Lepisosteus oculatus: one gene and its partners. The protein of the gene in region 2 interacts with the protein of the main gene of each other region in a pairwise test. Links are inferred from orthologs where the notes say so. Each region holds a gene or a part of one and is shown on either strand. Other genes may lie near its edges.

Region 1 (3,758 bases), on a different chromosome or scaffold from region 2:
TGTGTTATACTGTAATTTTATTTGTGTGTGTGTGGGGGGTACATTTAAAAACTCAGAAGATTTACTACTGGGGCAAATTAAGAAATATGTTTAGCTGTTCACTTCGCGGAAGTCTGCATTCATATCCTTATTTTGCCAAGAACTAAGCTGATATACATATATGTACACGACGAAATCCTATCAGATGCAATAATCACACGACAAGGGGAAGTGCAAGGTTACTGCAGATCACCGTTTATTACCGTCTTTTTGTGAAGGAGGGGAGGGTTAATCAAATTAACACTTACTGCCACGTATGTTTATGAACATAATCTCTGCCGGGTCATGAAACAGGCAGTAATGTTTACATTGTTATTAATATAATAACATATAAATATATAAATGGATATTTTGCAAACATTATAATCGCGGTTTACGTACGGGTACCATAAGTGTGTTTAACTTTGAATTGCTTTTTTAGATTTAAAAATTACCTGGCTCACCATATGCCGTTACCAGTGCTAGAAAATAAACAGATTACGCCTTTAACCGATCAGAAAATGAACGTTTTTAAAAGATAAATGACTGCTTTAACGCTTTAAAGTCACGACTTATTTTAAAATTAAAATCATAACTACATACAACTAATCTCTTTTTAAAATTACTAACTGTAGACCGTTTAAACTCATACCTTCTTATGGTTCACGTCATTATGTGACAGCTGACAGTTTAAATGCCTATCCTTTTCAAATTTTTATTTACGCAATGACGCACCCCTACTGACCAACATGGCAAAAACGCATGCGTGCAAGTCGAGGAAGTGTCTGGGAAATGTAGTTTATTTACAGGACGACCGCTGGGTTTTGGGAAGAGAATACGGTGTCACTAGAGAAATGAAGTTTGTAGAAATGCACGCACAGCAGTTTTTTATTATTCTTGTAATACTCAAATTAAATTTGTATTTAAATATAAATTAACAGTATTAAATATGTCTCTTAATTTGAATACGAACTTTACCTTTATAAAAATAGCTCTGTCCAAAAATTTCAAGGTATTCGTTAAGGCACCATGTGGAGGTGTTACGTTTTTATGGAGGTTTTTACCAATTTTGGTGAAATCTGGAAAATGTTGTCTCAATCCTGGTATATTTCAAAGTGGCCTTAATTTATCGTAGTGTAAACGACCACATTTCCCAGAATTCTATGTGATAGTCGGTGCATGCGACTTGAGCTATGTTGTAAAATTACCGGAAATAAACACGATTTTGAACTGTTATCTGAGTGCCTACCAGGTGGCAAACGAAAAATCAGACCACAGGTATTGATTAAGCTCGTAGAGCAGACCTTTAAAACGAAAGTGTGGCACTATAGCCTGGTATCAGTAGCACGTTTGAGCATGTTTCTCGTAAGGACCTTATTTGTACTTTATTGTACTGAATAACGCATATGTACCTCGATTTCTTGTTAAGCATCTGCAAAACTATACAACTACACAAATACAGGGTTGTCAAAAAACAGTGATACTGTTGTTTGTATCGTTAATCAGCAAAGTTTTAATACCTTTATTGTACTGAAGAAAAATTATATGAACTTGATATATATATGAAGACTATTGAAGACATCCTAGCCATATAAATGTGCAACATTTGATGACCTAATGGATTGAGGCAAATTAGACTTAAATTACATGTTGGGTAATTGCTCAGGTTTCTCTTCTGAATCGAATGCTTATATGTACACACCACAGTAACAAAAATTGACCAGCGAGTGAAGTCTGATTTGATCTTAGGACTCTAACTGAGGTTCCAAAACCCAAGGTTTAGTCACACATTGTAATTGACCATTCGGTTGTTTTAATGTTTATGACTTGCATTTGTGAAGCACACGCAGAATGCGTCAAAATGTATATTGTATAATTCTGATTCTGCAGGATAGGTGGACATGTCGGGATTTGAACTGGAACCATTGGACGGGAACTGTTCAATCCCGCTACCAGTTGGAGAAACCTTAATTGGAAGAGGACCTCTTCTCAGGGTACGTGTTTTTTAAACCTACCTCAATTATTTCCTTAAGCACTGCAGATATTTTACTTGTAAGAGGTACAGTCAAGCTATTTCATTTTGCTTAAAAGCAAGATATTTTAGAACATTTAGACATTTGTGACGTGTAATCAACACAATATTGACCGTCGTGTATAACAGCTGGATGCTACACTTCATCGGTGGATAAAGTTGGTCCCCTCTTATGAGCAAAGCACTTTAAGATCCTATGAGGTATATAACATATACATTTAATCGTGGGTGTCTGTAATAGCAGAAACGTTCTTCTTTACCACAAGTGGGCAGCATAGCCTCAAATGGCATACCAGTCAATATGACAATATTCTTCAGAAAGAAAAGTCACTCCAGTTTCTGACTTTTAAAAACATCTTTACAAAACGAACAATTCAAACATAAACTTAAATCCTCAGCATAGCTGCTTTAAAGTTTACTGTGATCAAAGCAAAGCGTTTTAAAGTGTAGTGAAATCACATCCAGCATGTAGGCTGTGGCAGAATAAAGTACAAGCATAGAAAGGGCAGATTTACCTTGCAAAAAGTCAGAAAATCATATACTTCCCTAACTCTCACATTGATTTAATTTGTGTTTGTTACCTGCAGCAATATATTTTGCACTAGTATATAATTAAAATTCTGTGTATACTATACAAGGGACATGCACATAACCGTTTGTATCTTGCAAATGCAAAACAAAAATTGGTGAAATTTGGCAGCTATAGGTCTGAGAAACACGGGACTAGAATAAGAGAACAGAAATTGAAATTTTACTGTTGGAAGACCACACAGTCTTCCAAAGTCAGTCTAGCTGCTGGCATGAGTAACAGATTTCTTTCACAAAAAGCCTGGTTTTATTTATCACACAAACTAAAGAAAAACGTCCAAGGTAGGGGATGTTAATACCCAATGTTTGATGTGTACAAGCTATGTAGTAAACGATTACATGTGTTATCAGATAATATAAATTAAGGTAATATTGAGTAATGTTCTGTAACACCCATAAGATAGATCTCTTTTCAAATATAGTAATGCAGGAAATGAAATGTGATATAAATGTAGAAGCCTTTTTTATTTTGGCGTTTGAGCCCACTCTGCACTCCTAGATGGCACTGTAATACAAGGCTTTCTGTCAGCAAAAAGCACATCACTAAAGTTGGGAGCTTTTCTTGAATTCTTATTTTCAGATTACTTTGGAGTCTATCAGCTTTTATAAAAAATCAAGTCTATAATGGTATTATGGATGGAGGAGCAGACTGCTGCCTTTGTGAGCTAAAACCGGGCGATGTTAATTTATGAACCCTTGTCACTTAAAAAGAGTTATTACAAAGAATAATTTATTTTGTTGTGAGTCCTGAGCTTTTAGCCTTTCAAGGTGCAAATTATAGGCACTGTTTACTACAAGTTTCATTTTTGCCACACCAGTATAAATCTAGATGTACTGTAAAATGTTTGCATGCTGAGTACTTTTTTTTTTTACTGATTCTATTCCATAAAGTAGACACATGGTTTAACAGGCACGCACACACCTTCTTCTGATCTAGATTGTAAGGAGAAACATAAATTACATTTCCTCCTGTGATTTCCTAACACTAAGAGAATAATCAGTGGGGTAATTGCTTTGTCACTGGTCTGCAAATCATTGGATTTTGCCTTATATCTGTGAGCCCTGGAGATGTCTCCAGAGAAATTAGATTTTGAGATTTCTTGGTCAAGTAAACAGAAAG
Region 2 (3,758 bases):
GGTTTTAATAGGGAACTGCATCAGTGTCCAAGCTGCAAAGGAACACGTAAAGGCTGCATCCAACTCTGGTCTCAAATTATCGAGACCTTGTATTTAAAAGCCTTCACACCTGAAGAAGGCTCCACAGCTGAAATGCTGCTTTTTCTACCTTCAGGTTGGAATTGCTTATAAAAGGTAAGGAAGAAATGCACAGCCTTGATGTATATTGCATACTGGAGCATATTCTATTACACATAATATACTATTACATATACTAATATGTCATTCAATACCGTAACTTTTATCCTGGTGGTAGATTTGTCACTGCCAAACCTGATGTGGCTCTTCATGGTTTCAGATATGTTTGAGATACGATGTAAGGAGTGTTGCATTATTGGCATCATACTGTGTGGTGGTATTTTGTTACGCAGCCTGTGTTTTCCGTGGAAGTACCCATAAAGTACAAAATAAATAATAATAAAAAGAATACCCATGGAGGAAACAGGCCAGTGATTCTCAGCTCTGGTCCTGAAGGACCGCTGTGTCCTTTGGCTTTTGACCCAGCGAAATATTTCTTCGTCGCAGTCAAAAGGCTCTCACTGTCCCGTTTGAAGTGTGTCTGGCAAATTTTCATTCAGCCCTTATAAAAAGTCACATGGCATTTGAAAGTGGTATCAACCCTGAGCCGTTTTCAGTTTCAGGATGCCTCTCGTTCCGCTGTGTGAGCTGAAACATAACCAGCAGGACTTAAGTGGAAGGAAGAAGCAAACGGTCGTGATGGGCCCGTTTACACAGTGACATTCCGCGTCCGTTCAGCATCCGATGATTGACTTTGAAGAGGTTTCGGATCAGAAAGAAGGGAGCAAATTCTTAATGACTGATTTGTTGTTTGTTTTAATCCAGGCAGAGTGCAGAAAAAAAGTCAAGACAAGCAAGCAGATCAATGACAAGATTACAGTAAGAATGATAAAAAACAGTAGATACAGGGGTCCCCAAACGTATGCACAAAAGGTTTACAAATTATGGTCGTCACATCTATGGTGGTACATAAAAAAAAAATTGGTAAATATTCTCTTACCTAAAGAGGGTTCCACAGGTATAATTGTTTTTTTTTGTCATTTCAGCACGGAGCTAATCTTTCTCTTTATTGGAATGTTTGTTGAGTAAGTAATATATAAACGTTGACACATTACCCCTCTATGCAGTTTATTGTACTCAAAGGTTAAGTTTCCATAACCACTGAGAGTACAAGCCTCTATAGTTCTTACTGCCAAGAAAATTACCAAAAGATATTGATACTTACAGTGTATAAAATATTGTCTTGCTGCCATTTTTTAGTTTAATGCTCACAATTAATGTTCGTGTCCATGGTTGAGTAAGTTGCCTCTTTAACAATAAATTGTATTGTTGAAGCTCTTTTCTGATTCGTAATTCCACTTTAGATGTTATAATCAGCCCCCGAGAAAAGCCTTTTGTAGCTCTGGAAGCTTACACTGTTGTCCCAGGTTTCAAGCAGACCACCATAAATATACTTACAGTATTTGAGTTTATTCGACATTTTAGAAAGCACTTTTCATGTAGGAGGTGACCCAGTCCATTCAGCAAAGAAGAGGTCCTTTGGCCCATTTAGCCCCTCTGCGAGCAGTGAAGGTGGTATCCTGGCGATGTGTGGTAGCCATAGGATAGCAGATCACCCACTGCACAGCGGGTGAGCTAAAGAAATGAGAAACAGCCTTGTATCATTGAATTGAGAATGCACTTTAGATGGGAAGAAAAGATTGTAATCAGATATCAATATCACCACTGTCAACACAAGGTCATCCATTTTAATCCAATTGTATGGTTCTGTTTCAATGAGTGGGCACACATTTGTCCTCTCTGCTGTATAAGCAGTTTATATCTGAGAACTGGAATATTTGTGCACTAGTCCAACTAATTCATATTGGATACCTACTGTATACAGTACCTGTGCATGGTACATGTCTGGTCCATACAAGATCCTGTCTGTTGCTTCTACAGCTACTGTAATTTTATGAATCAGTGCATGTATTTGATATTTTCTATTGGTGTTATCTAACTTGAAACCATTCAGGGTTGTTATGAAGTGAGGGGTTGTTTTCATTAAGCTGCAGTGTTGTTTGGAGTAAAAGTGAGCCTTGGAGGCATGTGGTTTTTAACATACCCCTGGGCCTTGTGAAAGGCTTCAATTGCAAACCAAACATGAAAACCTAGAAGAAAATTGTTCCATTCATTTTCCTCTGAGTGTTTCTTAACAACTGTTGTTGTGAGTGATGGAGAAAACAGAACATTATGGTCTGTGCAACTTATCAACGCAAGGTAAAAAGATGCATTAATTAATGAAGTGTTTCTTGCTTTTCTGATTACAGTGCCTTGCACAATTATTCACCCACCGCAAAGCTTCTACATTTTGTTTCTGTCTGAGCTTGCAATAACAGTACAACAAATCTACAGAGTCTACTTCAAACTGGTAAAGGTAAAAATGCTGATGGCGAGCAAATAAATGAGATCTTTATAGAAAATGAGAAGATTCTCAGTTGCATAAGTATTCAACCCTCTTTATTACGGAAGACCTAAATCAGTTGAGGTGCAAAATAACAGTCTGAAAGATCACAGCATTCATGCAACGTTCCCTGTCTGTGTGTAATCAAAGTGGTGTGAATTGACCAGTTCAGAGTAACTGCATCTGTCTCTGTAAGTTCAGTCAGATACTGCATTTCAAGCCATTTCAAGCTCATATTGTGACACACCAAATTGACCATGAAAACCAAGGAGTTGTTGAAACAAATTATGCATAAACTGATAAAGGCATAGAGTAGAAGAAAGCTAGTTTAATTCAGTGAAGTTCATTATTGACAACTGGACTGGAATTTGCAGCATATTACCAAGACACAAACTCAGCAGCTGAGCAAGCAGGTAAGTGGTTAGTAAAGTAACTGTGAAGCCAACAGTGATTTTGAAATATTTGCAGTTTCTTTTGTCTAGAATGGGAGTTGTTGTTCATACACTATCACTGTTCCCAGCATGAGGTAGTCTCTATGGGTGAAAGCAATGACAGAAGACATTCCTGCAAACAATTCATCTCAAATCTTCTAGAAAATACAATGCAGACATGGAGGGTAACAGAAGGGTTTATGATCAAATTAGACAAAAACTGATGTTTTTGTAGTCTAAATGCAAAGAGTTACATCTGATGCAGGCCCAATACAACACATTACCCAGTCAACTCCACCCCAGCTCTCAAGTATGCTGGTAACAGCATCAAGTTACGGGGCTGCTTCTCTTCAGTGGAGACGCATGTCAAGACTAAGGGGAAAATAGATGGAGCAAAGTCTTGAGAAATACAGTACTTGTTTTAGTTGCCCAAGAATCTAAAATCGGTTCTAAAATCACATTTCAGTACAGGGCCAAAGCACAATGAAGTGGTCCGACAACAATGGAATGAATGTTTAAGTTAGTTAAGATCACTTTATTGGCCATATAGAATTTCTTACATTAGGAATTCGTCTTTTTGCATACCCCAGCTTGCTCTCCATGAGACACACAGACGAGGAGAGAAGCTTGGGGTCAGAGCGCAGGGTCAGCCATTTATACGGCGCCCCTGGAGCAGTTGGGGTTAAGGGCCTTGCTCAGGGGCCCAACGGAGTAGGATTCCTCTGCCGGCCACGGGATACGAACCGGCAACCTTCCAGCCACAGGCGCAGATCCTTAGCCACAGTGCCACTGCTCCGCAAACTTCAATGTTCTGATACGAATCCAAT
Region 3 (3,758 bases), on a different chromosome or scaffold from region 2:
TCGGACTGTCCGCAGGTAGTTCGTCATCCCTGGGTTTCCTGACGACCTGGGTCTAGACTCCCATCAGCCGATGGAAATCTGGTGAATTCTACCCGTCGGGCAGTTACTAAGCGACAGTGACATATGTGACCTCGTACTGTATTTAAGATTTCTAGAGCCCGGAAGAAACAGCTTTCCACGCCTGGACATAACGCGCAACGCGAGAGAGGGGACTAATTTACCTTGAAAAACCTTCGAGAACCCTCTTGCGCAACAACATCAACCCCACCACCTCCACCTCCCACCCGGACCGCTCTCTCTAACCCGATTTGCTTAAAGACACCTAGGAGTTTAAAACGGACATTAAAATTCAAAATATGTACAACACTTGCGCTAAGAATAGAAGAAATTTAAACATTTTAGAAGAGGGCCATAAAGACACTAGCCATACACCCTGCCCATTTGTAATATTATTTTATTAAAATGTCATTAATACTGTAAATGTAATACTCACACTTAGAATTAAGCATATACAAAGAATATATGTCACTGTCATCTCAAATGTACCTACTGTAACTGCGAACGGAACAAGTATACTCACACTTTATAATTCAGGCACTTTTCCCAAGGAATCCAAAACGCGGAGCGTTACACCACACGTTTCCTATTAGAATATACACTTCAAGAAAACTGTACGTGCGCTATAAACCTTTGGTTTAATCGACTTACAAATTAAAGTTGGACTCTCCCCCCTCCTCCACCCTGGCAACGAAGTTCCAGAACCTTCTCCTTCCCTCCTTCCGCCGACACCCGGATTTTGTAACACAATGGTTCGTGACGTAACCGGCCGCACCGCCCACAACACGTAGGGGTCTGTGCTGATATGCTTGTGCCGGGCTCTGATTCTGCAGCAGTTTTTCATTTTAGTGTGTGCAGACATATCGTATAGCAATATCCAAGCCACTTTTGCTAGGTTATTTCGCTTTTAAATCATTGTGATCATTTTAGACCCTAAAACTACCCACCAATACTCACAACGCATCCTCCAACTGGGTGGCCCAGGCTCGATTTTTATGTCTGGTTTGTTCGTCATTAAATAAAATCGCAAACTTTTACTTTACTGACTGTAATTTTAGGTTGACCACGACTGCACTCCGCGTTCAAAGGGACATTTCGAATCAGGACGGGATTGTAAAAATGGATTGAAAACTAATGACGTGGACCTCAAAATTGTGCACTAAACGCTTTGGTGAGATGAATAATACCGTCGTTTACTAATCGTGTGCATTAAATTCACAACGCCTACCAGCAGCTACTAATTTGTTCTGGATAGTAACTAAGTTGACTCTTAAATACAATATTGCATGACTAAAGCTAAAGCTTTATCGTATTACTACAAATTATACAAGCAGTAAAAATAACATAAAATTTACAATAATATACTTCTGAAACATTTCTTCAGTTATTGTCCTTTGGTCAATTAAGGTAAAGTTTAAGTCTAGAAACCCATCCCAACCAGATGCGTACTATAGGAATGGAACTGTAATTAAGTAATGAGAAATAACTCTTAAGAGGGCTTTAACTTGTATTATCAGTACTATCGCTTCGACTACTGTAGTAGTGGATTTTAATTTCTGCACAAGCGTTGTCAGGTTGTTTTTAGTGTAGTTTGTCCTTCTTCGCGTGTTGTACATTGACGTCATCCGCGTTTGCTGACGTTGATTTGCAGTTCCAGTTTTCTCAGAGGAAAAAGTGCTACTCGTACATTAAAGGTATTTATTTTTTACTAAATCACTGTTATAGACAGTCTGTGAATGAATGTTTTATAAAATAGGAGAACATTATTCCGATTTTGCTTTTGAAGTGTTTAAAAATCCTCAGAAAATGATGATTTGGTAATGCCGTTCATGGTACCTGCTGAGGTTTAACTTGGTATCTTATGCTGTATAATGTATGCTGCTTCAAATATGTAAATAGTAGGGTAAAAATGACTAGGATGCTGTAGTGGTGGTTTCCAGTTACTTTGATGGATTTGGAAAGATACAATGGAGACCGATATTATTTATTCAATTTCAAACTACCACCGAAAATATTCGCCATTAATATTTAGTACAGAAACTTTTAGAAGAGTATCCAGCTCTCGCCTTAGTTTTACTGAAATGTTTTGTATACCATTTAAAATGGAATCAATCCGGTTTTGCTAGTTATTAACCTGTGTTTTAGATGCGATGCCAGTGTCAGATCAGCCGAAATACCCCATGTACAGTAAATTCTTAAATGCTGAGCTGCATTTTATGCAATAATGGGATCAACTAGAAAAAAGAACCCTAAAACATATGCAAGTTTGTAAAGAATGTCTGATATTCTTGAAGAATAATGACAGCATGTCTGATTGATGAGCACTGACAAAATATAAGTCCTTTGAAAATACTTATATGTAATGCTTATGTCATGTCATTTGCCAAACCGCTTTATAACACACGGTGTCGCGGGAAGCCGGAGCCTAACCAGCAGGCAACGAGCACAAGTCAGGGCACACCCTGCCCGGTGCGCCAGTCCATCGCAGGGCAGGTGCAAACCAATCACACATGGGGACACTTTGGAGGCATATAATAATAACAAACTTTAAAAAATGTAGTGATTAGCTTAACAAGACTTGCTTGCCAGTAGGATTCTATGGGACAATCAGAATTCTTTCAACACGTATAAGCAGAGCTGGACACAAACTAGGAATAAGATGTGTGTGTATATATATAGTATGTTTAGATTTAGAAGGAGTTTGAGAGTATTCTGCCAAAGAAGATATAATATATCATTATAAATCATATATCATATAAATATAACATTTAAATAGAAGGTTGTTTTATTAAAATTGTACAATACGCTAGTAAGATCTTATTTAGAATATTGTGAGTTTAACAGGTCCGCTTAGGTCTTCACAGCCCTCAGGTATTAAAAAGAAACCAAAGGTGTAGCAGATTGAAGGAATAGCAAGCAAGGGTCTCAGCAGTGCAGTAGCTGCTAAAATTACTGGGAGTCTTAAGAATAGTATCATAAGTGGTCACTGAGTCTCTTTGTGTACCACAGACCATGAATTGTCAGCATGTCTTACAGTTGTACATTTTTGTCACCCTCTCTAAAGGACAGGGAGATAATGCGGGTTTGCTGGCTTGTGAGGAAAGATGGATGCCACGCACCTATCAGATTGCCACATCTGCAAACGGTGATCCTAGGTCGGGGCCCAGAAACGACGATAGTAGACAAGAAATGCTCGAGAGAACAAGGTAACGTAAGTAACTCAAGCCGGCCTTTCCACTCTTCTTTCCCCGAATTCCACACCCATGATTTCAGTCAGCATGTTAATCAGATCAGTAAACGTAAACTTGCTGGTTTTGTGAATTTCACAGTGTGTTGTGTCAGCAGTTGTAGGGTAGTGTCGAGTCTATAGTCAGATCTGCCAAAGGCGGCAGACATCCAAGCACTGGATATATTGATCTCAAATGAGTGTTAACCCCATTTTTCTAAAAGACTGGCTCATTGAATGCTTTTTACACTGAGAGACATGATGTCAGCAAAGGTGTCCTGCTACAGTAGGGTGTTACGATGCACAGCCTCACACAGGACTGCCAAAATATCTTCCCTGTGCAACTGCTTTCCTCAAATCTAACCCAGAATTTGGCTTCTAACCCAATCCATTGGATGTGGTTGTTGCCATAGCTGTTCGGGAAAGTTGCAAATGAACAAAGAGGATAATCCTCCACTGAAAATGTTTCTTATTT

The links.
Region 1: the proteins of xrcc4 (region 2) and aplf interact in binary tests that used the Homo sapiens proteins (3 or more experiments, as listed by UniProt). The link is inferred for Lepisosteus oculatus from reciprocal best matches to the Homo sapiens genes XRCC4 and APLF.
Region 3: the proteins of xrcc4 (region 2) and aptx interact in binary tests that used the Homo sapiens proteins (3 or more experiments, as listed by UniProt). The link is inferred for Lepisosteus oculatus from reciprocal best matches to the Homo sapiens genes XRCC4 and APTX.

Annotation. Positions count from the first base shown.
Region 1 is NC_090712.1:8,482,370-8,486,127, reverse strand, and holds the start of aplf (aprataxin and PNK-like factor), read left to right. Parts: upstream 1-1,225; 5' UTR 1,226-1,296; intron 1,297-1,300; exon of another isoform or gene 1,301-1,383; intron 1,384-1,908; 5' UTR 1,909-1,919; coding exon 1,920-2,012; intron 2,013-3,758. UniProt on the Homo sapiens protein: Histone chaperone involved in single-strand and double-strand DNA break repair.
Region 2 is NC_090698.1:70,696,166-70,699,923, forward strand, and holds the start of xrcc4 (DNA repair protein XRCC4), read left to right. Parts: upstream 1-907; 5' UTR 908-922; coding exon 923-936; intron 937-1,103; coding exon 1,104-1,142; intron 1,143-3,758.
Region 3 is NC_090696.1:33,581,135-33,584,892, reverse strand, and holds the start of aptx (aprataxin), read left to right. Parts: upstream 1-856; 5' UTR 857-1,228; intron 1,229-1,460; exon of another isoform or gene 1,461-1,751; intron 1,752-3,121; 5' UTR 3,122-3,133; coding exon 3,134-3,263; intron 3,264-3,758. UniProt on the Homo sapiens protein: DNA-binding protein involved in single-strand DNA break repair, double-strand DNA break repair and base excision repair.